Linked DNA regions of Anolis sagrei. The protein of the gene in region 3 purifies or fractionates together with the protein of the main gene of each other region. This does not show direct contact. Links are inferred from orthologs where the notes say so. Each region holds a gene or a part of one and is shown on either strand. Other genes may lie near its edges. The genes, in order: SYNJ1, DNM1 and SNX9.

Region 1 (10,132 bases), on a different chromosome or scaffold from region 3:
AACAGAAGAATCCTGTGTATCTTGCTGCCTTATTATTAAAATCTTTTGAAACTTCTTGACAGAATATCTGGATAAGGAGCATGGATTCATCATAGAATACTGCAAATCAATCTTTTCTTATCAGCATCTAGCATTTTGTAAATTTTTTGAACTTATAACTGTTTTACAAGCATGCTTGAAGATTGAGCCATAGTCAATTTCTAATATTATATTGGACATATATTGTGATATATTATTTACTTGGCTAAATACATTCCAATCTCGATAAAATAGTGAAGAGTAGAGACATCACACTGGCAACGAAGATCTGCATAGTAAAAGCAATGGTATTCCTCGTAGTCACCTACAGATGTGAGAGCTGGACCATAGGGAAGGCTGAGTGAAGTAAGATAGATGCTTTTGAACTTTGGTGTCGGAGGAAAGAACTCTGGTGTCTGAGAGTGCCTTGGACCATGAGAAGATCCTACCAGTCCATACTTCTGGAAATAAAGCCCGACTGCTCATTGGAGGGAAGGATATTAGAAGCAAAGATGAAGTATTTTGGCCACATAATGAGAAGACAGGAAAGCTTAGAGAAGACAATTATGCTGGGGATAATGGAAGGAAAAGGGAAGAGGGCAAGATGGATTGATGGTATCCTTGAAGTGACTGGATTGACCTTAAAGGAGCTGGAGATGGTGATGGCCGACAGGGAGCTCTGGCATGGGCTGATCCATGAGGTCACGAAGAGTCGGAAGTGACTGATCGAATGAACAACAACAACAAATACATTATTCAGTTCTAAAGCATTTGATTCAGAATACAAACATCACCATTTTGAAAAAGTTCAAGATGCCTCAAGGGCAAATAATGTATAAATATTACCTATAAAGTGATTTAGGAGTCCAGCATGGCATGGATGAACTCCACATATGCTACTTGCAATAATCTGTCTGCTTCTGACTGGGAGAAAATAAATAAATTGCAGTACTTGGGTGACAGTTGTTACCTAATGTGAAAGCAGCATTACACTACTTAGAATTGCCTTGCATGGTGCTACTGTTCTCAAGTGTAGTATTGTATTCTTTCTTACAGTGCATCGCACAAAGTAGTACAGTATAAAAATGTTTGTACATTCCAGTACAGATTATTGAATTATAAATCATGGTAGAAGTTCCAGAGTAATATGTGCTCCAGTAGTCCTTTGTGGAAGTAATAATTGCTGGTGTAACCCGAAGCCATGTTAAGGCTAGCCAGTATGTATTAGAGCATTTGGCTATTTTATTTCTGTGTAGCCATGTATGTATACAATCTCTTTGCAAGACGAATGAATCACCACAAACCTTACCTGAGAATATTTTATTAACCAGGGTGCTGATGCTAAGTGCTGATCATGCTTTGACTCTGAATTTGAGCAGTATTTCGCCCTACTCATTGCAAGGGAGAAAGTGGATGTATCTGAACATAATATCCAGGGTATTTAGTACTTTCTCACGTATGATCCAAATTTTAAATAATGCTGACCATTTTCTTTCATTTCTTCTTAGGGAGCATATAAAACAGATAATAAAACTTCTATCAAGTATTCGGGCACTGGACCATGCTGTGACCGTGGCTAATGATCATAATGTGAAAGAGTTAAAAAGTGAGGGGAAATAAAGTTTTGCCATGTAATTCTGGGATATAAAAATCATTCCTGAAGTGTAATTTTGTACATATGTAAAGTTTTATTAAACTGTAAACTATGGATTGTTTTTAATACAAAATGCATTCTTATATACAGCATCTATACTAGCATTGATGTCTCTGAGAAAATGAAAAGGAAGCCAGGAAAATTTTCACCTCCATCTTGTTTACAAAGACTTTTATACTCCATTGTCGCCATCTATTCAGTTGAATGACCTTCCATTAACAGGAAATTCCTTAGTATAAAGCTCATTAACAGATCATCTGCAAATAGTATAGCCCTCAAATTTGTGTTTCAGATAATGGAAGATTTCAAAGTAAGATTTCAGTTGGTGGAATTTGGTCCAAAATATATGTATATGGTGTGACCCTGCTCAGAGTAAAGAAATTTCCAAAACAATATCCTTGGTCTCTGTTTGTGTATTGATGATAATAACTAAAAATTAACAATTGCAATTACATAACAGTCCTTGGGGGTTCACAGTAAAATGCATTTCCTTGTAGTGAAAGTACTGTATATTCCGGGGTACTAGACGACTTTTTAGGCATGTAAAACCTTATAAAATTTGCGGAGTCTACTACGCCGGGTATAAAATTAATAATAAAATTACCGGTAGAGCCTCTTGGTGTGGAGGGCCTTGGCCACGGGCTCCCCTCCGCCTCCGCCTCCTCCTCCTCCTCCACTGCCTTGGCTCATGGCAGGCTCCCCGTCCTTCCTCTCTTCCTGGCTGCCGCGCTGGTCAGGCCGCACTCCTTCTTTCTGGTCAGGCCTCGCGAGAAGCGTCTCTTCTCCTGTGAGACATCTCGCTGGAGAAGAGGTGCTTCTTGCGAGGCCTGGCCAGGAAGGAGAGCGGCCTGAGCAGAAGGGCCTCCCGCGCTGCTCAGGCCGCTCTCCTTCCTGGCCAGGTCTCGCAAGAAGCACCTCTTCACCCGCGAGACAACTTTGTCTCGCAGGAGAAGAGGCGCTTCTCGCAAGGCTTGACGGGGCTGGGAGGCAGAGATGCCATGGCGGCAGGAAGAAGGAGAGCGGTCTGAGCAGCGCGGGAGGCCCTTCTGGAGGTGGCGCAGGAAGCAGCCCAGGGGCAACCACACACCAGGCGTAGAGGACAGAAACCACCTGGCGTAGAGGACAGAAAATGCGGAGTCGTCTTAAACGGTGAGCATATCCCCAACTCTCTATTTTGTGTGCTAAAGTTGGGGTGTCGTCTTATAGCCCCAGTTGTGTAAAACCCCAGAATATACAGTATTTCACTATGTAAACAGAATTTTTATTCTGAAAAGAACATTGCTAAATTAATGTATGTTTGATAATCACTAACTTCCATTGGAAATATTTTCTCATGTTACCTTGATTTAGCAGATTTCTATCCTAACTATTCATATACTTGATGTCAGCCCTTCCTGATTCATTCTTGCCGAAGCATTTACTTTCTATTTAGGCTGCCATGTGATTTTTAAAAAGCCGTTCTCAAGCACAATGAGGTGGTAAATAAGGTCCATGCCATACAAGGTAAAGCTGAGTGACAGTGCTGCACTCTTGTGTTAGCACTTTGGCCTATGTCCTAAACTAGTATAAAGATCGGCTCACTGTTGTTCAAAGCTGACGAAGCAATTTAAAATCAAGCACTGCTTATTTTCAAACTTAATTCCATAGGTTTTGATTTTAAGACGAGTGGTGCTTAAATTTATGTCAAGTCTCCCAGACAGTCTTTTTTAAAAACTGCTCATTTTAAAGCTGGTAATCTTGAGTGAAAACCTATTATAGTCCTCTACAGATTTGCTTGGCGATCAGTCTTACATATTTAATTAGCAGCCCCAGGCAACCAACATCAATTAAATTCTTTATTATAGGACAGGCACCAGCTGTTGGGAATTGTGGGAGCTGAAGTTCAAAACACCTGGAGGCCCAAAGATTGCCCATTCCTGTTAAAGGAACAAGGGTTCTCATACAGATTAGGAGCTCTATTCTAATAATATATAGAGCTCCACTTATTTGCACATCTGTTTTAAGAATATACTGTCTATATAAAACATTTATGCTATACAGAAAAAAAAGTTACAACTTCTTTTATATTCTCTTAAAACAAATTCTGGGTACAAAAGTCAGGGAAGAGATTCTTAATTGAAAACATCCTAGTGTTTTATGTTAAGAGAATGAAATAGTACTGATTTATGAAAGCATTTACATTATTTATGAAATTATTCTACTGTTTGGATATAAGTGAGAAAGTGACAAGTAGCTGTACCCGGTCTACTTTTGGTTTGCATACTTTTGCTATTTCAATTTCTAAAAAGGTACAGGTACAAAAGTCCTGTACTTTGGGTTTCTAAAACCTAATGAGTCATTACTCTAAACTTGATATCTGTCTGCATGCAGACAACTGGTTAGATCTAATTTTGGCATAACCTTTCCACGTTAAGTAACTTGTGTCACCCAAAAATAGAACAAGACAGTGGCGGTAGTCCTAAAGCTCTTAGAAAGAATAGGCCAGAAAGCAGTGCTGGCAGAAATTAAATATCGGAGTACAATGACTGATGTAGAGAGGTGTCATAGAGTTAGTATGTGAAGCCTTCCTACTCTGACCTTCAGTTTGTGCACAATGTTAAAAGCATTAAGTCAAACCATTAAAAAAGAAACATCACAGGATTATGTAGTGTGACAGATCTGTCACAAGTAATTATCCAGCAGCAATAAAACATTTTGTTAATATACAGGCAATAGACTTTTTTTCTTCATGCCTGTAATCACTACCTACTTCCAGTGGTCCTGGGGGCCACATACTCCTCCCAAGACCTTGAATGGCAATCCATGCTAAAATGTGGGGTTTTCCGATTCAAGCCACATAGAGTGGGGCTTTGGTATCTGTTCAGTTTGATTCCAGGACCTGTGTTATGAATTCATCAATGGTCAAGTCATATTATTTACAATGGCATAATAAAATGATGTCCCTTAAATAGAATAACAAAATCAAGGCCTGCCTTTTGAAAACATAAGAAATAATGTAAATGCTATGGAATGATGGATTAAATCCTAGTAAAGGTAAAGGTTTCCCCTTGACATTAAGTCTAGTCGGGGGTGGTGCTCATCTCCATTATTAAGCCAAAGAGCTGGTGTTGTCTGTAGACACCTCCAAGGTCATGTGGCTGGTATGACTGCATGGAGCACCATTACCTTCCCGCAGAAGCTGTACCTATTGATTTACTCACATTTGCATGTTTTTGAACTGCTGGGTTGGCAGAAGCTGGAGCTAACAACAGGAGCTCACCCCATCTGTGAGTTTGAACCACTGACTTTCTGATCAGCAAGTTCAGCAGTTTAACTCGCTGTGAAACCACATAAGAAATATACATGATTAAATCCATTGATACAGAGGGCCTACTTTACCCTCCCACTTTTTTTTCCGAAGTAGGCTGAAAATCACTGTTTTAAAGCACTTTTAAAAGCCCCAAACAGTCCAGTAACTTCTGGAATAGGGTGCATTTATTTCTGGATGTAGGTGAACTACAGCTCCAAAACTCAAGGTCAATGCCCACCAAACCCTTCCAGTATTTTCTGTTGGTCATGGGTGTCTGGTGCCAAGTTTGGTTCAATTCCATTATTGATGGAGTTCAGAATGTTCTTTGATTGTAAGTTAACTATAAATCCCAGCAACTGCAACTCTGAAATGACAAAGTATTCATATTTGGGCGTATCAGATATTTGTACCAAATTTGGTCCCAGTTATTGAAAATACATACTGCATATCAGATATTTATATTACGATTCATAAGAGTAGCAAAATTACAGCTATGAAATTGCAACGAAAATATTTTGATGGTTGGGGGTCACTACAATATGAGGAACTGTATTAAGGGGTCGCTGCATTAGGAAGGTTGAGAATCACTGGCTTAGAGGAAGGCGAAATGTGGACAAAAAAATGATGCTGCGTTTAAAAAAAAACAGCCAATTTGCTGAGTCAGCAGGTCTTCTGAAAGGAAACGGATGCGCCTCCGGAGGGTAGTGTTTTCCAGTTAGTCATGTTCCAAAACAATCCATCTTGCCTCCTGACAGCAAGAAGGGATTTCAGGCCAAACCACAAGCACACACACCAAGGTCAAGCACGGTCTGTTTTTGCTGCCTGAGCCTCTTGAGAAAGCCACAACTAGATTGACTATAAGGCAGGCATGGGCCAACTTGGGCCTTCCCTCCAGGTGTTTGGACTTCAACTCCCACCATTCCTCACAGCCTCAGGCCTTTTCCTTTTCCCCCTCAGCCGCTTAAGCTGTGAGGAATGGTGGGAGTTGAAGTCCAAACACCTGGAGGGAAGGCCCAAGTTGGCCCACACCTGCTCTAAAGTAGACGGTGAAGGAAGACTCTCCTTCCCTGGAGACAGGGCGCCCCTCCCTCCCTGTCCTCGCGCACCTCCCACAACTTCCGGTCTGGAGGGGAGGGGGCGGGGCAGTGCGGAAGCGGCGGCCCCGCCGGAGAGGAAGTGAGGCCAGCGCCTCAGGCAGCGGCTGCACGAAGAGGCTCCCTGAGGTGGCCGGTAAGGGGAGGACTCCGCATCTCTTCCGAGGCGCCCGTTCTGCTTCAGTTCTTATTTGGGAGGAACTCGGGCCCCTTCCTGGGCCGGGGGAGCCGTTAGAGAGGGAATCCCAAGATGGAGGAGTCGTGAGCGCCGGCCTGTCACGGCAAGGAGGGATGGGGAGAGGGAAGGAGGGAGGCCTTCGGTATATGGGATTATCAGCGTCGCCTTGGCAAAAGCTTATCGCCTGCGTGGAAAGCCGGGCGTCCACCGCTGGCTATGCTCTCTGAGGAAACGGGGAGATGGGGAGCCTTGGGGGACGGTCTTGGGGAAAGGGAAGGGAAGGGTCCCCATCTCCAGAAAGACCCCGCAGGCCAGGCCTCGCTTCGGGAACCCAGGAAGGCCCCCTTTTCCCCCAATGGGGGGAGAAGCCTGCCAGTTTGGTGTTTCTGTGTATGGCTCCCAAGATGCTGTTTTCCTTGCTCTCAAATTCTGAGGCAGTTCCCAGCTGGGCTTCCATTACTGCTGTCATTAGTAATCATGTTTTCTTTGGCCTGCGGTTCATTAAGAAATCGATTTCCGTCTCAACACCGAGGCGAGGCGGCGTCTCTGACATGGAATTGCGACGGCTCTTCAAAACACGTCTTTTAAAATCTCGCTGGATTTTAAAAGAATCAGATGTTTATATCCAGATGTTAATATCTAGTTATTGTGCAATGTATAAACACACATTGTTGGAGGGGGTTGAAATTGCTACTTAGCCCTGGCTCTGCCTTTAGGCAAAGTGAGGCACAGGAGATTCTTAGGACCCTTCCACACAGCCATATAACCCAGAATATCAAAGCAGAAAATCCCACATTATCTGAGTGTGGACTCGGGGCCCTTCCACACAGCCCTAGATCCCAGACTATCAAGGCAGAAAATCCCACATTTTCTGAGTGTGGATTCAGGGCCCTTCCACACAGCCCTATATCCCAAAATATCAAGGGAGAAAATCCCACAATATCTCCTTTGAACTAAGGGCCATTCCACACAGCCCCATGTCCCAGAATATCAAGGCAGAAAATTCCACATTATCTGAGAGTGGACTCGGGACCCTTCCACACCCCTAGATCCCAGAATATCAAGGCAGAAAATCCCATATTATCTGAGTGTGGATTCAGGGCCCCTCCACACAGCCCTAGATCCCAAAATATCAAGGGAGAAAATCCCACAATATCTGCTTTGAACTAAGGGCCATTCCACACAGCCCTATATCCCAGAATATCTAGACAGAAAATCCCACATTGTCTAAGTGTGGACTCAGATAACCTAGTCCACACTCAAATAATGTGGGATTTTCTGCCTTGATATTCTGGGATCTAGGGCTGCGTGGAAGGGCCCGCAGATAACCCAGGGCCCTTCCACAAAGCCCTATATCCCAGAATATCAAGGCAGAAAATCCCACATTATCTGAGTGTGGACACAGATAACCCAGTTCAAAGCAGATACTGTGGGATTTTCTGCATTGATATTCTGTGAAATAGGGCTGTGTGGAAAGTCCCCGAGTGCCCTTCCAGACAGGCCCTTTATCCCAGGATCTGATCCCAGGTTTTCTGTTTTTCTCAGATTACCTGGCAGTGCGGACACATATAATCCAGTTTAAAGCAGTAAACCAATAACCGGATCTTGGGATAAAGGGCCTGGCTTGAAGGGGCCTGCATTATCTGAGGGCCCTTCCACACAGCCCTATATCCCAGAATATCAAGGCAGAAAATTTCACAATATCTGCTTTTATCTGGGTTATCTGAATCCACACTTAGATAATGTGGGATTTTCTGCCTTAATATTCTGGGATACAGGGTTGTGTGAAAGGCCCTGAGTCCACCCTGCCATTTATTCCATTCAAAGCAGATAGTGTGGGATTTTATTCAGCTTGTGTGGAAGGGGCCATTGTTATCTGGGACTCTCAAGCAACCAGCAAAACACTGAGGAAAATAATACTGCATCCACAAGGCTGTTTTTATAATACAGGCAGTCTCCAAGTTATGGACATGACTGGGTTCTGTAGGTTTGCTCTTAAGTTGAATTTGTAAGTAAGTTAGAACATTTTCAGTGTAACTCCAGCCAAATATATAGCTTTAAATAGCATAGAGAATGGTTAACACCCCTGTGGTGTTTGTTTTGCTGTGTGTTCCACTGTTCAGAACATTTCATCTCACTTTCTGTCCCTGTGGGATTTGGATTTTGAAAAAAATTGGCTTGTTGTGGAAACAAGGATTGGTGAAGAAGTTTCAGTGGAGACTCCTTTTCCCTATGATAAATAATAATAATAGCAATATACTTTATTTATCTTCTGCTCTATCTCCCCGAGGAGATTCAGAATAGATTATGACATACACAGATAGACACCTCCTGGTTGTGTTGCCGGTATGACTGCATGGCCGCCTTTTATTACCTTCCCGCCAAAGTGTTACCTATTGATCTACTCACATTTGCATGTTTTCGAACTGCTAGGTTGGAAGGAGCTAGGGCTAACAGCGGGAGCTCACCCAAACCTACAGCTTCAAACTGCTAACCTTTGGGTCAGCAGATTCAGCAGTTCAATGGTTTAACCCGTTGCGCCATCAGGACCCTTACATCAACTCTCCCATGAGTGAATTTCCCTTCCTAGGGGTAGATTTCTCTCCCTTCCTGTTCTCTCAGCCTCATTCTTAACTAGGAGTCATTTGTAAGTCAGATGTTTGAAACTTGGAATCTTGACTGTACAGTAAAACTATGTTACATTAAGTTTGTCTTTATTTGTCTTTATTTATTTTTAATTACCGTGTTTCAATATAGATATCAAGTTAACACAGAGTTTATGTTATATTATGGGGTATAGATTAGTTACGCCTATGTTTAATAGTAACTGTCAACCAACCAGAAACTACATTTATCTGGTATTTATCAGTCCCCTTGGGTGTCGGCTGAGAGTCTACTGTAGTTGCTTTCAGTGGCAGATAGGGCACAAGAAGCATCAACACCAGGCCCTTTGCCTGCCCTCAGATAAGTTAGTAGATGCTATTTCCTTCCCAGCAATGACAACATCGACTAGTTAACAGCATAGACTAGTTTACAAGTTTCTGCAAAATTTGCTGTCAGCAATTTGATAACTATCTTTCTTTACCAGAAGAGGGTGAAGCAAATGCATGTTTGCATTCTAGAGCTGAGCCCTGATAATCTTTGTCTCGTGCTAAGCACTGAGTATATTTGTAGACGGCTTGGTAGTATTATAAAACTGTGTGTGGTGCTGAAATCCATTACACTTTTTTAAAAAAAAGACTTGAATCTCCTTATTCTGTATTTCACAAGAAACATCACTCTTGTAATCTGCAGCTATTATGCCACACTGTATTTTTATTTAGTTTTATAAACACTAGTATTTAATTTTAAAGGAAATGTTTTTGGCAAATGCTGATTGTGTAATTTGCACTTCACATGAGCAAAGAAAGAGTGCAGAAATGCAACAAACATTACCAAGGTCAATGCATTTTGTTCAGACACTGTAATGTTATACAGAAGTTAGTACCTCTTCTTTAGGTTCCAGTTCTCCACCTCACAAATATCATAAAAGCTAGACATACATTAATATGACAAAAAGCACTTGCATGTTTGGGAACAGTTTCCGAACACAGCAGCTGGTTTAGCTCTGTTGAAGCAATTGAAATCTGATGGTTTATTGTATCAAGAAGTGTTACCGCACTTTGAATGTGATTTTACTGTTTATTGGCAGGAGGTTGGACTGGATGGCCCACAAGGTCTCTTCCAACTCTATGATTATATGAGCGCATTACAGTTCTCCTGAAGCAGTAGTTAGATAAATATCAGAAAAAATATTCAAGACAAAAAATATTACAGTCAAAATAGAGTGTTAACGTTTATTTAGATTCAGATGATAAAAATAACTCAATATAAAGTGATGAAAATAACTCAATATTAAA
Region 2 (10,211 bases), on a different chromosome or scaffold from region 3:
ACATAAGTCAATAGCAAATCCCGCAAACGTAGCACATCCGTTGCACTCCAGGACTCTGACTTTAAACAATCCTTTTATTGAAGATAATTGAAAAAGCAAAAAAGTTAAAAAAACTTCAAAAATATAGGTAAATCCAATTAGGTAGGAAGATAAGCAGGAACAAAGCAGTCCAGGGTAATAGTCCAGCAAAGTCCATAAAAACAAAGTCAAAAGTTCCCAAATAACATGCAAGAAATCAGGAAACATGAACCCAAAGTATGAATATGGAAGCATAAAATACAAGAATCAAAACCATGAAACAAAGGCACTTAAAACAAGCAAAACTTCCACGAACAAGAACGAGGACTTAACTTGATTCCAAACGATGCTTCATCTGACTACATATCCTGTACTTGGGACTTTTATCTCCTCGTTAGCGAAGTCTCTAGCATTCAGAAATTGGTTTTGTTTTAACTGATAATGTCTTTTTTCTCGGACCCTGGCAGGCCACCGAAGCCATTGTTCGGCTCTCCTGTTTTGACGAATCTCCTCTTGTCTATTTATTTGAACCAGCTAGGACATTAAGATCATCTGGGGAGGCCCTGCTCTCAGTCCCGCCTGCAACACAGGCATGCTTGGCGGGGACGAGAGACAGGGCCTTCTCAGTGGTGGCCCCTCGGCTGTGGAATACCCTTCCTACAGATATTACATCGGCCCCCTCCCTATTGGCATTTTGGAGGAAAGTGAAGACCTGGTTGTTCGAGCAGGCATTTGAATAGACAGTGTAATGAATATAGGAATACGGAACAACGGATGATGAGATTGGATCTTGATTCTACTGATGAGACGCTAATGAGATGTTATATTGATGTTTAATTGTTTACTATGTTATTGTTTTAATTGTCTCTTAACTGTTTTTATGATTTAATTAAATAAGTTAAATAGCATTTATTTTTTGCTATTGTTAACCGCTTTGAGTCGCCTAAGGGCCGGGAAAAGCGGTATACAAATGAAGTAAATAAGTAAATAAATAAATATTTGCTCATTAATTTCTGCAGCTGAGCCAGGTGCTGAGCTGTTTTCAAGCTCCAAATCATGGGAACTCTCTGGTAACAATTCAGAAAGCACACCATCATCTCCACACCCCTCAGAGACATTCTCATGGGAAACTACACTTTGCACAGGGATCTCCTGGTCATTCTCTGCATCAATATCACTGGCCAAACCATTGCCATCTTGGAACTCATCTTGAAACTCATTAACATCACTCCCCACATCCAAAACACCCTGATCCTGAAATACAATCACAGGCTGAGCCCCAACAATATCGGTCTGCCCACTAACCATTACAGAACCTGTCTTCATAGATCTGTTAGCCTATGGCACTGCAAATAATTGCCTTCTGAGGAAAACTTATCACAAAGGATGACCACCTCACCCGCTTCATAGTGGAGCTTTTTTGTTGAGTTCCAGGGTTAAAGAAGCAGAAAAACAACCTGCCTCAGGGGAGCACGCTTGCTTCTTACTTACTTACTTACTTAAGTGATCCCTCATTGGCCGAGTAGGATAGTCTTCCAGGATCAGTGTTCTGGTGAGTCCGTAGGTGACTGTGGAGCCCTGTTCTTGATCTGCATCTTCTCTCACAGTGAGGGCATTGGTTTTTCAGGTGGAAAGTGGTCTCGGTCGGGGTTGGCCTGATGCGCCTTCCTCTTAGCACATTTCTCTCTTTCGCCCTCTATTCGTGCCTCTTCAAATTATGCAGCACTGCTGGTCACAGCTGACCTCCAGCTGGAGCACTCATAGAATCATAGAATCAAAGAGTTGGAAGAGACCTCATGGGCCATCCAGTCCAACCCCCTGCCAAGAAGCAGGAATATTGCATTCAAATCACCCCTGACAAATGGCCATCCAGCCTCTGCTTAAAAGCTTCCATAGAAGGAGCCTCCACCACACTCCGGGGCAGAGAGTTCCACTGCTGAACGGCTCTCACAGTCAGGAAGTTTTTCCTAATGTTCAGATGGAATCTCCTCTCTTTTAGTTGAAGCCATTGCTCCGCGTCCTAGTCTCCAAGGAAGCAGAAAACAAGCTTGCTCCCTCCTCCTCCCTGTGGCTTCCTCTCACATATTTATACATGGCTATCATATCTCCTCTCAGCCTCCTCTTCTTCAGGCTAAACATGCCCAGTTCCCTAAGCCGCTCCTCATAGGGCTTGTTCTAGGACCAGGGCTTCCCAGTTCTCAGGCGCTTGCTTCATCCATGTTCAACATATACACAAATGGCCAGCCATTTGCCAGAAGGGACAGAGAGTTTCCTCTATGCTGATGATCGCGCCATCACCGCTCAAACAGGGAGCTTTGAAATGGTTGAACAGGAAAGGGAAAAAATGCACATCACAAGTGCTGAACCTGACTCAGCACATAGAAGATGGTTTTTGAAAGGCAGCAGATTACAGAACCTGTCTCCATATACCTGTCAGTAGCCTATGATACTGTAAATCATAGCCTTCTCCTATCACAAAGGATGGCCACCTCACTCGCTTCATAGGAAATCTACTACAAAACAAGAGCTTTTATGTTGAGTTCCAGGGCCAGAGAAGAAGATGGCAAGTGTGCTTGCTTCATCCATGTTCAGCATTTACACAAATGACCAGCCACTTGCCAGAAGGGAGAGAAAATTTCATCTATGCTGACGATCGTGCCATCACCTCTCAAGCAGGGAGCTTTGAAATGACTAAACAGAAGCTCTCTGAAGCTTTAGGTGCTCTTACATTTAAACAAATGACCAGACACTTCCAGAAGGGACAGAGAGTTTCATCTATGCTGACGATCGTGCCATCACCACTCACGGAGGGAGCTTTGAAATGGTTGAAGAGAAGCTCCCCAAAGCTTGGAGTGCTCCTATTGCCAATTACATCTAAAATGCAGATATGTGCTTTTCACCTTCAGTTCAGGAGAGGCTTATTTTGCATAGAATTATGGAAAAAATAGACCCATTTATGATCTCACATCAAGCTATTTTAGGAAAGGCAAAAACTGCACATCACAAGTGCTGAACCTGACTCAACACATAGAAGATGGTTTTGAAAGGCATCAGATTACAGAACCTGTCTTCATAGACCTGTCAGTAGCCTAAGGCACTGTAAATCATGGCCTTTTCCTGAGAAAAAACATATAATATCACAAGGGATGACCACCTCACCCGCTTCATAGGAAATCTGCTACAAAACAGGAGCTTTTTTGTTGAGTTCCAGGGCCAAAGAAGCAGAAGAACAGCCTGGCTCAGGGGAGCCTCAATCCATGGCTCCATCCATGTTCAACATATACACAAATGACCAGCCACTTGCCAGAAGGGTCAGAGAGTGTAATCTATGCTGATGATCGTGCCATCACCGCCCAAGCAGTGCTTTGAAATTGTTGAACAAAAGCTCTCTGAAGCTTTAGATGCGTTGACTGCCTATTTCAGGGAAAACTAGCTAATTCTTAATCCATCTAAAATGCAGACATGTGCTTTTCACCTTAAGGACAGACAAGGATCTTGAGGTCTAAGGATGAGCTAGGAAGGAATTGCACGGAAGCACTCCCAGAGTGATCTGGGAGTCACTCTGGACCATGCTTTGACCTACAAGAAGCACTGCTTGCCTATCAAGCAAAAAGTGGGTGCTAGAAATAATATTGTATGAAAGCTGGCACAACCTTGGGATCACAACCAGACACAGTTAAGACACCTGCCCTTGAGCTTTGCTACTCTGCTGCTGAGTAGTCATGCCCAGTGTGGAACACATCTCCCCACAAAGTGGATGTGGACGCCCAACACCACTGGAGAAAATATACTGTTTAGCCAATATTGCACCACCTGACATCTGTCGGGAAGTAGCAGCCAGCAATGAAATGACCAAGGCATTGTCATCTCTGGCCCATCCTCTGTTCAGATATCAGTCAGCATCCCAATGCCTTAAATCAACTTCCTGAGATCAAGAGAGATACTCGCAGAAACACCTCAGCAAGCAAGAGTCCAAAAGTGGCAGGCTAAAACCCGAAACCTCAATCCATGGCTGATAGTGGATGAGAGGCTGGGTTGTTGTAGGTTTTTCAGGCTGTATGGCCATGTTCTAGAAGCATTCTCTCCTGACGTTTTGCCTGCATCTGTGGCAAGCATCCTCAGAGGTTGTGAGGATGAGAGGCTCCTTCCTGGGTACATGGAGGACGGGGCGACCTGAAAAGTGCTGAACAGACTGCTCTCTGGCACCAGATATTAGTTTCACACCTGGTGGAGGTCATTGGTGGTGGTTCACGGGTGGGGGGTTATTTAAAAACAAAAGGAAAAAGAGCACTTCTTCCTGTTGTCGGCATCCCTGCAAAAGTGCTCAGGTTGACTCCTGATCTGAGATGCTTCCCTCCTGCCGTGAGATGATGCACGAACCAAACAACAACAGCCAGGTTGCACACATTTCCTTGTGGCAACACAGAGCCCCATCCCCGTGGTTGCTATGTCAACATACATTTGCGTCTCTCTCTTCTGAAAAGCCGTTGCAAAACAAGACAAAGCTGTGGCTGCTGCATTTTGGTGCAAATGGGATCCTGAAGGAGAGCTGAAAGGCACATCTGAGCCTTTCGGAATACTGCTGGAACAGGGCCATGCAGCCCAAAAGACTTGCAGCAACCCAACAAGATGAATGGAGAGACCAGGCATTATTTCACATGCAAACATACTTATATATACTTGCCTCACTGCCAATAAACCTATGAGGGTGCAAAACATCAGGAGAGAATGCTACTGGAACAGAGCCATGCAGCCCAAAAAACTTAGAGCAACCCAATGAGGTGTTTTCTGTTGGTCATGGGAGTCCTGTGTGCTACGTTTGGTTCAATTCCATCATTTATGTGGTTTAGAATGCTCTTTGATTGTAGGTGAACTATAAATCTCAGCAACTACAACTCGCAAATGACAAAATCAAAAACTTTTGAGTGAAGGACATACATTAGGTTGTTAGGTGTGTGCTGTCCAAATTTGGTGTCAATTGGCCCACTGCTTTTTGAGTTCTGTTAATATCACAAACAAACATTACATTTTTATTTATATAGATTACTAACTGTACACGCCACGCGTTGCTGTGGCCAACCTTCCCTCCCTCTTTCTCTCCTTCATTTCTTCTCTCCCTCTTTCCTTCCTTCCCTCTTTTTCTTTCCCTTCTTCTTTCTTCCTTCTCTACCTATTTCTTTTCTTGCTTCCTTTGCTCTTTGGTTCTATCCCTACTTGTCTCTTTCCTTCCTTCCTTCCTTCCCTCCCTCCCCTTTTCTCTCTTTTGTTCCTTCTCTCCTTCATTCCCTCTTTCACTTATTTCATTTTTGCCCTCCTTCTCTCCACCCTTCCTTCCCTTCTTTCTTTCCTTCTTTATCTCCTTCCCTCTGCCTTTCCCTCTTTCTCTCCCTCCCTCTTTCTTTCCTTCTCTCCTTCCCTCTTTCTCCCCCTTTCTCTCCTTCCTTCCTTCTCTACCCTTCTTTCTTTCCTTCTTTCTCTCCTTCCCTCCTTCTTTCCCTCCTCTCCTTCCTTCCTTCTCTACCTTTCTCTCCTTCCTTCCTTCTTTCCCTTCTCTCCCTTCTTCTCCCCTTCCCTCCTTCTCTACCCTTCTTTCTTTCCTTCTTTCTCTCCTTCCCTCCTCCTTCTTTCCCTTCTTCTCTCCCTCCTTCTCTCACCTTCTTTCTTTCCTTCCTTCCCTCCTTCTTTCCTTCCTTCCTTCTTTCTTTCTGTGTATGTTTTGTGTGTGTGTATGCACATGTGTGTATATGTGTGTGTTTGTATATATATATGTGGTTTTGCACATGAGTTGTAATGTTTTCTTTTGGTTTTTTGGCTTTTTAAGTCCCTACCTCTGTGTTTTTCAGTGTTTTTATGAGTGATGGTCACTCATTGGCCTGAGAGGTGTCTTGTGTCCAAATCTGGTGACATTCCCCCAGTGGTTTTTGAGTTCTCTTAATCCCACAAATAAGCATTATATTTTTATTTATATAGATTATTATGATTATTATGATTATTATTCTAACCCAAGGCCCTTCCACACAGTCCTATATAACCCAGCATATCCAAGGCAGAAAAATCCCACATGTATCTGCTTTGAACTGGGTCTTCCAAACATGGCCTAGGATGGGAGGATGCTAACCTTGGGCTGCATCCCCCTCTGCCTATTGAACTACATTTCCCAGGAAGCGCTTGGAGGCGCTGCGGAGGGCGCCCTCTGGCGGCGGGAGGCGGGACAGCGCGCTGTCTTTGCGTTGGGAGCCAGTCAAAGCAGTCAGTGCTGCAGCGGGAGGAGGAGGAGGAGGAGGCAAGCCTATGGATTAAGCGGGAGGAGAGAGAGGGAGAGAGAGAGACGGGGAAGGGAGCCCTTGTTGCAGGCCTGGGGGAGCCGGCCCGGGCTTGAGCCTCCCCAGCAGACTCTCTTGTATTGGGACCAGTATTTGGCCAGCTCCCTGGCGGGGCTGCTAAGCGGGCGCAGCCATGGGCAACCGGGGGATGGAGGACCTCATTCCCTTGGTCAACCGGCTCCAGGACGCCTTCTCCGCCATCGGGCAGAATGCCAACCTGGACCTGCCCCAGATTGCCGTGGTTGGCGGGCAGAGCGCCGGGAAGAGCTCCGTCCTGGAGAATTTCGTCGGCAGGTCAGTCTCTCTATGCATCTCTCTCTCTATTTATGTGTATGGCAATCTCTCTCTATCTCTATCTGAGCCTGCTTTCTCCATGCAGAATGGCTCCCTCTAGTGGCAGTGCAAGGGATGGCGGAGAGGATGAATGCAAGGCTTCCATCCCGGCTCCATCCATCCATTGCAGATGCTCCCTGGTGCCAGCACCAACCCTAGGAGGCAGGCCTGTGATTGACAGCCGGGGTTGCCTAGCAACCCCACCCCACCCTCTCCCTCCTGCCTTCCCTCCCCAAGCACAGGCTCAAACAGAGGCATTGCTTTTCTGCAAATCTCCAGGGTAATAATAATAATAATAATAATAATAATAATAGTAAAAATAATAATTCAGAAATTAAATTGGGAATAAATAATAATAATAATAGTTGGATTTTAATTCAGAAATTAAACTGGGAATAAATAATGATGATAATGATAATTGGATTTTAATTCAGAAATTAAGTTCTGAATAAATAATGATAATAATTGGATTTTAATTCAGAAATTAAATTGGGAATAGATAATAATAATAATAATAATAATAATAATAATAGGATTGTAATTCAGAAATTAAATTGGGAATAAATAATGATGATGATGATAATTGGATTTTAATTCAGAAATTAAATTGGGAATAGATAATAATGACGATAATTGGATTTAAATTCAGAAATTAAATTGGGAATAAATAATAATAGGATTATAATTCAGAAATTAAATTGGGAATAATAATCATCATCATTACTTGGATTTTAGTTCTGAAATTCATCATCATCAGGATTTTAAGTCAGAAATTAAATTGGGAAAAATAATAATCATCATAATCATTTGGAGTTTAATTCAGAAATTAAATTAGGAATAATAATCATCATCATCATTTGGATTTTAATTCAGATATTCATCATCATCATCAGGATTTTAATTCAGAAATTAATTTGGGAATAAATAATAATCATCATTTGGATTTTAATTTAGAAATTAAATTGGGAATAATCATCATTATTTGGATTTTACTTCAGAAATTCATCATCATCATCAGGATTTTAATTCAGAAATTAAATTGGGAATAATAATAAATAAAATAATAATAATAGGATTTTAATTCAGAAATTAAATTGGGAATAATAATAAATAAAATAATAATAATAGGATTTTAATTCAGAAATTAAATTGGGAATAATAATAAATAAAATAATAATAATAGGATTTTAATTCAGAAATTAAATTGGGAATAATAATATATAAAATAATAATAATTGGATTTTAATTCTGAAATTAAATTGGAAATAATAATAATAATAATTTGGATTTGAATTCAGAAATTACATTGGGAATAATAATAATAATAATTCTATTTGGATTTGAATTCAGAAATTAAAATGGTAATAATAGTAAAAATAAGCAGCAGCCATTCTAGGTTTGGGGAGAAGCATGCCTGTTTTTCCTTCTGGAGGGAGGGTGGAGGAGAAGAAATACACACACACATAAAAAATTAATAATAATAATAATAATTTATTAATAGACCTCCCTATCTCTCCAAGGGAACTCAGGGCAGCTTCCAGACAAAAGAAAGAAAGAAACGAAAACATTCAATACCTTGGTAGAAAAGATCCACAAAAATCAAGCAGTAAAAAAATAATAATTAAAAATTAATAAGTGCTCAGCCAAAAATATATATAATTAATAATTGGATAAACATAATGATCTAAACAGATACACGAAGACCATAAAAACCTCAATGACAAGAATGCACAAAAGTATGTAAATTATTTAAAATTTAATAAATAAATTATATATATATATGTTAATAAATAAATAAATAATATATATATATATATATATATATGTATGTATATGTGTGTGTGTGTGTGTGTATATATATATATACACACACACACACATTATTTATTTATTAACTGCCTTTTCTTTACCCTGCTCTATCTCAACCTTGGAGGAGCTTCCAAATTGGCAATCATTCAATGCTGCATTAAATATTAAAAATACAAATACAAAATCATAAATACAATGGCCATCAAAACAATGGCATGTCAATACAATGCATAGACTTGGAAGCATCGTACGTAGACCTGGCATCATAATCCAGAAGCTGATCCAAATTCTGTTCATATATGTATACATACACACACACACACATATATCTTTTGGGGTTGGAGATGGAAGGACGGGGCGGTGGTTGTGTTGTGTTGTGCTCTGCCTCCCCATCCTCAAGGCAAGGAGAGATCGAATGGTGTTAATCCCAAATCATCCTGGGATTGCTGAGCTGAGTCTGGGCAACATTCCCCTCCCATTGCTTCCTCTTCCCCTTCCTTCTGTTGCTCCTGGCCTTGGGAAGTTAACCTTGTTGGCTAGGAAGAGAGGATGTGAAGGAAACAGCTCCGTCTGCAAGCAAAGCCCAGTCCTCAACCCCCATCGTTACGTAATCTCAAGAGAGGAGAGAAATATCAGAAGGGTAAAAGGGGGGCAATGCAGGCAGAAGCAAATCTTCATCATTTTCGATTGGGCCATTGCAATTCCTTCCAGGAGGATGCAACGTCAATGCAACGTTGCTCTTCTTGCAATGATGCAATGTTCGGCATCCCCAGGTCTTATTATTTTCCACCTCTTGGGCTTCTCTCAGTGCTTTACAGGAAGGCAAAAAGTATATAAATCAATAAGAGAGGAAGAGAACAGGACCAATGGGGTCGGCCGCATATCAATGCGGTGTCAGTGCCTGGAAATGTGTTAGCGATGCACGGCACGTCCGCCAGCAAGATGCTCCCTCTGTAAGAAGAACAGTGCAGTCCCTGCCAGTCGTTGCTCGCTTGCGTCGCTGGTTGCAATCCCTGCAAAGTGCAAATTCAAGGGAGAGAACACACCAGCACATCCTCCACTCTCTGCCTCCCGGTTTTGCCAGGTTCCACGCAAGACAGTTCCACCTTGCCTCCTGTGCTGTTAATAATATAATAGAATTTAATGTAATATAATATAATATAATATAATGTAATGTAATGTAATGTAATGTAATGTAATGTAATGTAATATATTATATAATGGTGCTCCATGCAGTTTTTATATTATATTATTATATTAATAATATAATATTATAATTATTATAATATTATCATATTAATAATATAATATTATTTAATATAATAATATTATATTATTATATTATAATAATATAATATAATGTAATGTAATATATTAATATAACGGCACTCCATGCAGTTATGCCGGCCACATGACCTTGGAGATGTCTATGGATAATATATTACAATAATATATTACATTATATTTTTTAATATACTATATCAATATATTAATATAATGGCGCTCCATGCAGTCATGCCAGCCCTTGGAGGTATCTATGGATAATGTATTACAATAATGTATTACATTATATTAATACAATATAATATAATATATCAATATATTATATTAATATATTAATATAATGGCGCTCCATGCAGTCATGCCTACCACATGACCTTGGAGGTGTCTACGGACAACGCTGGCTCTTTGGCTTAGAAATGGAGGTGAGCACCACACCCCAGAGTC
Region 3 (11,030 bases):
ATAGTTAAGAATAACTTTGCAACATTGAACAACCACAAATAGCAGTAGAGGTTTCTGATCTTGTCCCCAATGTTACAGAAAACAAGATGGGAAGAAGACTATGAATTAAAAGTTCACAGATATTCATTGCATTGTGTTAAACTATGGTTTAACATAATGTTCAAACATTAATAATGATCAGAAAGATTCTGCTCTACTTCTACCATGTGTTCAAGCTAAACCAAAAGATATCTAAGATTTAACAACTTTTTAACCTATAAAAAGGAAAGACTTTCTGCCAATTTTAAGATTATAGATTATCACAGCAAATAGAAAATATTGTTTTTTTGAGCTATATGACCATGTTCTAGAAGCATTCTCTCCTGACGTTTCACCTGCATCTATGGCAGGCATCCTCAGAGGATGCGAGGTCAGACCTTCTAGAGCAGGGGTTCTCAAACTAAGGCCCGGGGGCCGAATACGGCCCTCCAAGGTCATTTACTCGGCCCTCACTCAGGGTCAATCTATGTCTGAAATGACTTGAAAGCACACAACTACAACAATCCTATATCATCAGCCAAAAGCAGGCCCACGCTTCCCATTGAAATACTAATAAGTTCATATTTGTTAAAATTGTTCTTCATGTTAATTATTGTATTGTTTTAAAGTGTTTTTTGCACTACAAATAAGATATGTGCAGTGTGCATAGGAATTCATTCATGTTTTTTTTTTAAAATTATAATCTGGCCCTCCAACAGTTTGAAGGACTGTGACCTGGCCCTCTGTTTAAAAAGTTTGAGGACCCCTGTTCTAGAGTATGGCCATATAGCTCGAAAAACCTACAATAACTCAGTGATTCCAGCCATGAAAGCCTTTGACAATACAGAAAATATTATTAATAGTCCTATCTATCCGATTTGTTGTCAATCCACTCCTTTGGGCTTCACACAAATCTACCATTTGCCAAAATATATGATCCTGTCATTAATAAACTATTATTAATAGTATCACACTATAATTACAGATTGAGTGACCAATTAAATTCAACGCCTTATGTAAGAACAAAAAATAATAAAAACATAACTATATTTATGTTCTAAAATAAATTCCAAAACAGGTATACAGAAGATCAGAAGTTACTGATTACTCAATGATTCTCCTTTTATAGGTCAGGTAAATGACACAGCTTTTTCCATAGAGTGATTTGGAAATACTCATTGTAAACATGGACTGGCAACCAAAACTAACATATGAGAAAGATCAAAGAAAGAGGGGAAAAAAAGGTGAATTTTAAAATCCTTTGTGGTAACTAAACAAGTAAGCCATACATTATGAACCCACAATGATTTTGGAACAACATTTCCTTAACATTCATTAACTCCTTCCTTGAGACCTCTAAGCATTCTTCCTTTCCTCTTGAAAGTATTTTTGAAGCACATGTAAAAACCAATGTAGGCCTAAACTCCAAAAGGAAAAAAAAAACACCAGCAAGTAAGACCAAACAGACACTACAGGACTTATTACCAAATAAGCATATATTGGACAGCAGTATTATGTTCCCTCAAATATGTGCTATTTGCATTATACAGGCAGTCCGCAAGTTACAAACATCTGACTTACAAACAACTCTTCATTAAGAACAGGGGTGAGACAACATGAAGTGAGAGAAATCTGCCCCTCTGAAGGGAAATTCACTCCTGAGAGGCGTCTCCACTGAAGCTTTCTCAGCAATCCTTGTTTCCACAACAAGCCAATTGATCCAAAATCCAATTATGACAGGAAGAGAAAGTGAGGTGAAATCTTCTGAACGGGGACACAGACAGCAAGACAAACACAACAGGGGTGCTAACCCTTCCCTACACTACCCAAATCAAATTTATATATTATATGGGCCCCCTACTGGTGCAGCGGGTTAAACCGCTGAGCTGCTGAACTTGCTGACCGAAAGGTTAGCAGTTTGAATCTGGGGAGCAGGGTGAGTGCCAACTGTTAGGCCTTGCTTCTGCCAACCTAGCAGTTCCAAAACATGCAAATGTGAGTAGATCAATAGATACCACTTCTGCGGGAAGGTAACGGCGCTTTATTCAGTCATGCTGGCCATGTGACCTTGGAGGTGTCTACAGACAACGCTGGCTCTTCGGCTTAGAAATGGAGATGAGCTCCACCCCCCAGAGTCGAACATGACTATACTTAATGTCAGGGAAGCCTTTACCTTTACACACACACACACACACAGACATATACACACATATATATATCTACTACTAATACTATATAAAATAACAACACTTTATAAATAAAATATTATTTCATATATTACTATTTATATATATAGTATTATTATTATTAAAGCTGGAGTTATACTTCAAAAATGTACCTGTTTTGAACAAATACAACTCAAGAACAAACCTACAGACCCTATCTTGTTTGTAACTTGGGGACTATCTGTACAGGACTGTAATCTTTCAGAGTTTGAATATATACCAGATATCGCCACTGTGACATCCAACAACAGGTACAAAAAAAAAAGATTGTATAATTGTGTGCACACACCTGTCAACTTATGGTGACCTCATGAATTTCACAGGGTTTTCTTCAGCAAGGAATATTAAGAGATGGTTTTTTAGGAGCCCCCCCCCCCCTTCTCTCCAATGGCACAATGAGTTGAACCCTTGTGCCAGCAGGATTGCTGACCACAAGGTAGACTGTTCCAATCCAGGGAGCGGGTGAGCTCCTGTCTGTCAGCTCCAGCTTCCCATGCAGGGATATGAGAGAAGCCTCCCACAGGGTGGTAAAACATCTGGGCATCCCCTGGGCAACATCCTTGCAGACAGCCAATCCTCTCATGCCAGAAGCGACTTGCAGTTTCTCAAAAAAAAAGAATTAAGAGGTGGGTTTGCCAGTTCCTACCAGGGCTGACTTCAGCCCCCCGAGGTGTTCTGGACTTCAACTCCCACAATTCCTATCAACCTCATGCCCCTTCCTCCACCCCCCCTCCCCGAACTTAAGGGGCCTGAGGCTGTAAGGAAGTGGTTCTCAACCTGTGGGTCCCCAGGAGTTTTGGCCTACAACTCCCAGAAATCTCAGCCAGTTTACCAGCTGTTAGGATTTCTGGGAGTTGAAGGCCAAAACATCTGGGGAGCCACAGGTTGAGAACCACTGCTGTAAGGAATTGTGGGAGCTGAAGTCCAAAACACCTGGAGGCCTACTCCACAGGAAGGAGCCATGGAGCAGTTGAAGTGGTATCAAACCACATTCACAGGGAGGCCTTTGGACACAGAATCCCAGAGGCCTTGTAACACTACAACTCCCATGAGCCCACAGCAGGGAGCCACGTCAAACCCATCCCTGCCCAATTCTCCCCAAGGCAGTCTAATAATGGGCTTTCCTTTGGCCGTTAATGGCCAAACTTCCAACAATAACAATAACAACACAATTTCTCAGTCTCTGGGTGAGCCCAGCGAGGAAAGTTGACAGGGAAGGAAGGCCTCTGGAGCCAGGGATCAAAGGGGATCCCCTCAAAGAAAAACAACAACAACAAGAGCCTCCACACGCCCTTCATGTGAGGAGGCAACCCGCCCAAAGCGCGCCCAGAGGGAAGCAGGACGGGAATGGCGAGCGAGCAGGCAGAGAGGCCTGAGGGGAGAAAGGAAGGCTCACCTTGGTGGCCATGGCGAGTGGCCCCCGGCGGAGGGGATGCAGCTCCGGGCTCCCTCCTCCTGGGCCTCGGCGGAGAGGAAGGCGAGTAGGAGGAGGGGGAGGAGGAAAGGGAGGCTCCCTCCCTCTGCAGACGCCCCCTTGCCTCCTCCTTCCCTCTCTCCCTCCTCCTCCTCAACCCAACTGAGGGGAAAAGAAAGGCGCCTCTTCCTCCCTCTCTCTCTCTCTCTCTTCCTCCTTCTCCTTCCTCCCTTTTCTCCTCCTCCTCCTCCTCTTCCCAGGCCCAGGGGCGGGGTTTGAGCGGAGGGAGGGAAAGGGGCGGGAAAAGGAGGGCTGGCCCAAGCCACGCCCCTCCCCACGTGACGCCCTCAGAAGGCACACTCTTGCTTTCGGAAGGAGAGCCTCTTCCCGCTGGGGTGGGGGGCCGGGGTGGTTGTTTCTCAGGCCTCTCTTCTTCGGCTGGATCTACGCTGCCAGGGTCTGAAGCCAGGCCATCTTAATAATAATAATAATAATAAATGATAACAATAAATTAATTATAATTATATTGAATTAATTATATAATTAATTATTATATATTATATAATTAATAATTCGAACCAGTGCCATCAAAGCCAGAATTGAAAAGTCAACAACAGATCCCAAATGTAGACTGCAAGGAAGCAGATGAAAGAATAGATTACATCCTCAGCTATTGCGCAGACAGACTACAAGCAGAGGCATAACACCGTTGCTCAGATGGTTCATTGGAACTTGTGCCTGCAACAAAGAACTGGTGGGATCACAAGCCGGAAAAAGTTACAGAAAATGAATATGCCAAACTCCTCTTAGACTTCCAAACTCAGACAGAGTTCTGGAGCACAACACTCCTGACCTCACATCATGTTAAAAAACAAAGTATGGATCACTGATATTGCAATCCCAGGCAACAGCAGGATTGAAGAGAAACAACTGGAAAAGCTGACATGATATGAGGATTTAAAGATCGAACTGCAAAGACTCTGGCACAAGCCAGTCAAGGTGGTCCCAGTGGTGATCGGCACACTGGATGCAGTGCCTAAAGACCTTGGCCTGCACTTAAATACAATCAGCACTGACAAAAGTACCATCTGCCAGCTGCAGAAGGCCACCTTACTGGGATTTGCATGCATTATTCGCTGATACATCACACAGTCCTAGACACTTAGGAAGTGTCCGGCCTCTGATCCACTACAACAGCCAGCAGAGTGTCTGCTGTGGACTCATCTTGTTGTGTTAATAATAATAATAATAATAATAATAATAATAATAATAATTCAAACTAACAGAGTGTCGGAGCACAATACTCCTGACCTCACGATCATGTTGAAAAACAAAACATGGATTATTGATATTGCAATCCCAGGCAACAGCAGGATTGAAGAGAAACAATTAGAAAAACTGACACGATATGAGGATTTAAATTTGAACTGCAAAGACTCTGGCACAAGCCAGTAAAGGTGGTCCCAGTGGTGATAAGCACACTGGGTGTAGTGTCTAAAGACCTTGCCCTGCACTTAAACACAATCAGCACTGACAAAATTACCATCTGCCAGCTGCAGAAGTCCAACTTACTGGGATGGGCACGCATTATTTGCTGATACATCACACAGTCCTAGACACTTGGGAAATGTCCCACGTGTGATCCAATTCAACAGCTAGGAGCAGGCCCGTAGCCAGGATTTTGATTCAAGGAGAGCTGAGTTTGATTCCCGGGGAGGGGGGGTGAGGATCTACCCTAGCAAACCCTAGCAAACCTTTTGTATCATTACCACAATACCCCCATGCATATGGGATATATTGAGCATGGTGATCAGATCATGATATGAACAAACATAACAATTTAAATACTGTACCGGTAAGGCCTTCTCATGGACCACCCTGAGAATTTGGGGGGGGGGGGTGAAGCCCCTCAAGCCCCCCCCCCCCCCCCCGATGCCTGGCTAGCAGAGTGATCTTGTCTGCTGTGGGCTCGTTGTGTTTCTAATAATAATAATAGTAATAGTAATAATTCAGACTGACAGCGTTTTGGAGCACAATACTCCTGACCTCACAATTGTGTTGAAAAACAAAGCATGGATCATCGATATTGCAATCCCAGGCAACAGCAGGATTGAAGAGAAACAACTGGAAAAGCTGACACGATATGCAGACTGTGCAAGGAAACCAAAATGCAGACTGTGCAAGGAAACTATGAAACCATGGATCATATCTTCAGCTGTTGCAAGAAAATCGCACAGACAGACTACAAACAAAGGCACAATTCTGTGGCCCAAATGATTCACTGGAAGTTATGTCACAAGTACCACCTGCTAGTAGTAAACAATTGGTGGGATCATAAACCTGAAAAGGTAGTGGAAAATGAACACGCAAAAATACTGTGGGATTTTCGAATCCAGACTGACAAAGTTTTGGAGCACAATACACCAGACATGATGATTGTGGAAAAGAAAAAAGTTTGGATTATTGATGTCGCCATACCAGATGACAGCCGCATTGAGGAAAAACAACAGGATAAACTCAGCTGCTATGAAGACTTCAAAATTGAACTACAAAGGCTCTGGCATAAACCAGTGCAGGTGGTCCCAGTGGTCATTGGCACACTGGGTGCCGTGCCAAAAAATCTCAGCCGGCATTTGGAAACAATAAACATTGACAAAATCACAATCTGTCAACTGCAAAAGGCCACCTAACTTGGATCTGCATGCATCATTCGAAAATACATCACATACATTGAACACAGAAAGTTGATCACAGTGGGCAGGGCTGGTTGCAGAGATTAAAAGTTTAAAAACAATGGGTGAGAGAGCAATGTAATGTATCTGGAGAAGGGATCCGTGGGACGAAGTGGGGTTTAATTGCACTAACAGGTAAAATAAATCATATATTTTTATTATATATAAATGGTTTTCATGAGATGTCTTGTGTCCCTATACATTTCATTATATTTTGTTTTTAAAATACAGTATTTATTTTGTATTTCACATAACTCAGAGGTTTCACGTTATGTTTGTGTGACACACCTAAAATTGTTTTGTGTGAGAGTGTGTTTATAATGCTGTGCTATTGTTGGATTGTGTGATTTTAATGTTTATATTGATATGTTTTAATTCTATGTTTTAATCTTAAATGATGTGTTTATGATTTAATTGATAATTGTATGTTATTATTGTTATGTTAGGTTTCTGTATGTGAGGCATTGATTTTTGCCATAATTATGTTGGAAACTGCTTTGAATCCCCTTTTAAGGGAGGAAAGTGGTATACAAGTGAAGTAAATAAATAAATAATTAAAATTGCTTTTATGTGATCACTTTCTGTGTATATCATTTATTGTATCCATTTCTTTGGTTGTAAGCTGACCAGAGACCCTCTAGGGAGATGAGGCGGGGTATAAATACAGTTGTTGTTGTTGTTGTTGTTATTGTTGTTATAACACAGATCTTTCCAAACTGTGTCTTGACACATGAGTGTGTTAGCTGCAGTGTGTAGGAATGTCATGGAAACATAATGGGAAATCTTGGAAATGCATGTTATTGTCTTACAAATAATATATTTTAAAGTATAAAAATGAAAGATTTTCATAAGAGATGTTGCGTCCCCATACATTCCATTATTACAATTTATGTATGCAACTGTATCTCTTATAAGGAGTTAGTTTAACCTCTGGTTTGCCAGTTAAACCAAATTATTGTGCCCCAAAAATGATACGTGTCTACAAAGTATGCCACCCACATGAAATGTTTGGAAAGCTCTGATGTAAGGTATGCAGATAACAGCATGCTACTGGGAGAAAACAGGAAAGACTTGAAGGTAGTCACTGAAGGTTTACAGAAAACAAGACATAATGACTACAGCAGATTTACAGAATTCTAGACGATGAAGTTATCGAAAGAGTTTTAAGATTTTCCATATCCTGGCATAGTCACTCTTCAGTCAAGAAAGCAGCTTTTATTGGCCCCTAATACCAATGCAATGCAACCACCTTATCCCTGGAGGATATGTTCTAAGATCCTCGTGGATACTGAAACCATGGATACTACAGAACACTATATTTGGACTCTTCTTCAGCTGGAAGCTTCCTATTAAATAGCACTGGTTGATCTAGAGAGGCCCACAAACACATCTGGAGAGGGATATTTTGGATAAGTGAGCCCATTGCTAACCTTATAAGGGCAAAAGGCCACTATAAACAATACTATAATACAATAATATAAGCCATATGACTTATATTATTGTATTATATTTTTGTTTATAGTGGCCTCCTGTCCTTGTACTTAAGGAAATCTTTTCTCTGTATTGCTAACCTTATAGCCATCCCTTTCCTTTTGTACAGGGAGCTCCATAGTCCAGGAAAGTTGAGTCAGAGCTGATGAGAGCATTTCTCAGTGGTAAAATATATATATAGCAACAATAGCAAGCATTTCTAAGTATGGGTTGCAGAATGGCTGGAATTCAGTGTCATCTCAGACAAATCCTCAGGAAACTCTGCCCACAGCCTGAATGTTTCTACTTATGCTGTAATAGTCAAGCCAGGATTAGTCAGTGTGTGGCTTCCTATCATAAGTTTGCATTTTCAGGAACCTCTATACAAAAGTGGTCTGCTAGTAAAATTAAGTCTTTCCCTATTCTAGATCTGTTACACAGCTTATCAGATTTCAGGTTTATGATTCCTCTTCATTTTGTATTAAACCCTGAGATCCACAAACCAGAACCTGGTTTAAAAATACTGGCTCAGGTTGGTACACACACTAAAACCAAAAAAGCCATATATCTGATCATATGAATTTGTGATCAATACCATAGCAAAACTTACGAACAATTTTACATAGATAGGTAATTAGGTAGGTAGGTAGATAGATATGTAACTAGGTTCCATTGTATCTTTCTCTCTTCTATAAAACATTCTGAATTAACTGTTGTTTGTATCTTATTCCTTAAGTGGCTTTTTGAAATCAAGTTTGTAGTCTTGCTGCTGAAACAGAAAGAGGGATGGTTGGTCACTGCAAATCTGAGTAGCAAATCTAACATAGCGTGAAAAACACTGGCAACATAATTAAATCCTCATTTTCCATGTTACCACGTGATAGAAAAGCATCCAGAACGAAACAAAAACATTAGAAAGTGCTTGGCTCAGGAAACCCAAGTACATTTCCCTGTCAATTCTTGTCAACCTTTCTGAAGGCCTTGTCATTTCAATGTTTTACTAAGACTGAATTGATTCCTTACGTATATGATGATATATGGGTAATAGTAGTGGAGATGGATGCTTTCTTTCCCATAGTCGTTGGTCTCAGTGTTTTCTACATCATTCATATCAGTGCTTCAAGAAAATGTGTCTTTGTCCTATAGTGTATGCAATACATCTTGGGGCATTTACCCAAAATCAAATCAGCTCTGACTCAAATACTTTTGGGGCTCCCCCCATCCATCAGATGAATGATCCACGGGATCTATGCAGTTCACATAATGTTCTTCTAAGTCAGCATTTCTCAACCTGGGGGTCGGGACTCCTGGGGGGTATCAGAAAACACAGTATTTTCTGTTGGTCATGGGGGTTCTGTGTGGGAAGTTTGGCCCAATTCTATCATTGGTGAGGTTCAGAATGCTCTTTGATTGTAGATTAACTATAAATCCCAACAACTACAACTCCCAAACGTCAAGTTCTATTTTCCCCAAACTCCACCAGTGTTCACACTTGGTCATATTGAGGATCCATGCCAAGTTTGGTCCTGATCCATCATTGTCTGAGTCCACAGTACTCTCTGGATGTAGGTGAACTACAACTCCAAAACTCAAGGTTATTGCCCACCAAATCCTTCCAGTATTTTACTGCTGGTCATGGGCGGTCTGTGTCCCAAGTTTGGTTCAATTCCATTGTTGGTGGAGTTCAGAATGCTCTTTGATTGTAGGTTAGCTATAAATCCCAGCAACTGCAACTCCCAAACATCCCCACCAGTATTCAAATTTGAGCATATCAGGTATTTGTGCCAAATTTCAACCAGTGAATGAACATGCATACTGTATATCAGATATTTACATTACGATTCATAACAATAGCAAAATTACAGATATGAAGTAGAAACGAAAATAATTTTATGGTTGGGGGTCACCACGCCATGAGGAACTGTATTAAGGGGTTGTGGCATTAGGAAGGTTGAGAAACACTGTTCTAAGTAAATGTGCTACTCTTGAAGAATTGGCTATACATTCCGTCTAGATTACTGCTCTCTACGTGGGGCTGCCTCTGAAGACTGCCCGGAAGCTGCAGCTAGTCCAACGCTCGGCAGCCAGATTTCTAACGGGGGCTGGGTACAGGGAGCATACAATCCCTCTGTTACGCCAGCTCCACTGGCTGCCGATTAGCTTCCGAGCACAATTCAAAGTGCTGGTTTTGACCTACAAAGCCCTAAACGACTCTGGCCCTGTTTACCTGTCCGAACGGATTCTCCCCTATAAACCATCAAGGTCTTTAAGATCTTCCGGGGGGGCCCTGCTCTCGATCCCACCACTGTCACAATCGCGGTTGGTGGGGATGAGAGACAGGGCCTTCTCGATGGTGGCTCCCCGGCTTTGGAACTCCCTCCCACAGGAGATTAGAACTGCTCCCTCCCTCCTTACGTTCAGGAAGCTAGCAAAGACTTGGCTATGGAATGCGGCCTTTGACAACTGAATCAACTGGTCCATATGGAAGGAGAATGAATAACTGTGAATTATGACCAGGAATGCTTTGACGACGTGGCTATGTGATTGTGATGATGACGATGTTGTATTGTAATATGTTTTTAATTGTGTAATGATGATGCATTGTGCGGTTTGTATTTTTGTATATGAATACATGTTGTGAACCGGATCTGAGTCCCTCTTGTAGGTGAGAAGATTGGTATAGAACATTTTTAAATAAATAAATAATAAATAAATATACGAGTTTTAGGAAGTTTTAGGAAGTACATATGCTATTCTTGCTATTGCTTTTAATCAGTATAGTCCTCATCCATCTAGTTCTTGATGAATAAACATTTGAGGATCAAACCAATCTCCTGTTTAGTACATAATTCTGTTCTGACAGTGATGGCTAATGCGATATATATGTGAAATGTACAAGCACAATATGAACATGACAGCACCCTTTGTATTGCGATCCTCAGTAGCTAATATTCATATGTATGAGTGATGGAAGTTAAAAACCTACACTCAAATATATGTTCATACTAGGCTACTTTGTTCCTTCCTTCTGCATCTATTTGCAAGATGAAATAGAAGAAATGCAGTTATTCTACATTGATTAGGTTCCTCAAGCAACCAGTGCCCAAATTTGTGGTAATAGCTCTTGTTTAAAATCTTTTTAATGAGATATATGGTTGATTATCAGGTGGT

Evidence for each region.
Region 1: the proteins of SNX9 (region 3) and SYNJ1 purify together in Homo sapiens (co-immunoprecipitation; 3 studies listed by BioGRID and IntAct, counting the BioPlex papers as one, with this or other methods). This does not show direct contact. The link is inferred for Anolis sagrei from reciprocal best matches to the Homo sapiens genes SNX9 and SYNJ1.
Region 2: the proteins of SNX9 (region 3) and DNM1 purify together in Homo sapiens (co-immunoprecipitation; 6 studies listed by BioGRID and IntAct, counting the BioPlex papers as one, with this or other methods). This does not show direct contact. The link is inferred for Anolis sagrei from reciprocal best matches to the Homo sapiens genes SNX9 and DNM1.

The regions. Positions count from the first base shown.
Region 1 is NC_090023.1:69,428,277-69,438,408, reverse strand, and holds the start of SYNJ1 (synaptojanin-1), read left to right. Parts: upstream 1-6,087; 5' UTR 6,088-6,191; intron 6,192-6,208; exon of another isoform or gene 6,209-6,336; intron 6,337-10,132. Other genes in the region: PAXBP1 (PAX3- and PAX7-binding protein 1), read left to right, coding at 1,527-1,638. UniProt on the Homo sapiens protein: Phosphatase that acts on various phosphoinositides, including phosphatidylinositol 4-phosphate, phosphatidylinositol (4,5)-bisphosphate and phosphatidylinositol (3,4,5)-trisphosphate. Has a role in clathrin-mediated endocytosis.
Region 2 is NC_090031.1:16,581,276-16,591,486, forward strand, and holds the start of DNM1 (dynamin-1), read left to right. Parts: upstream 1-6,234; 5' UTR 6,235-6,474; coding exon 6,475-6,635; intron 6,636-10,211. UniProt on the Homo sapiens protein: Catalyzes the hydrolysis of GTP and utilizes this energy to mediate vesicle scission and participates in many forms of endocytosis, such as clathrin-mediated endocytosis or synaptic vesicle endocytosis as well as rapid endocytosis (RE).
Region 3 is NC_090021.1:69,212,281-69,223,310, forward strand, and holds the start of SNX9 (sorting nexin-9), read right to left. Parts: upstream 3,922-11,030; 5' UTR 3,652-3,921; coding exon 3,640-3,651; intron 1-3,639. UniProt on the Homo sapiens protein: Involved in endocytosis and intracellular vesicle trafficking, both during interphase and at the end of mitosis. Required for efficient progress through mitosis and cytokinesis. Required for normal formation of the cleavage furrow at the end of mitosis.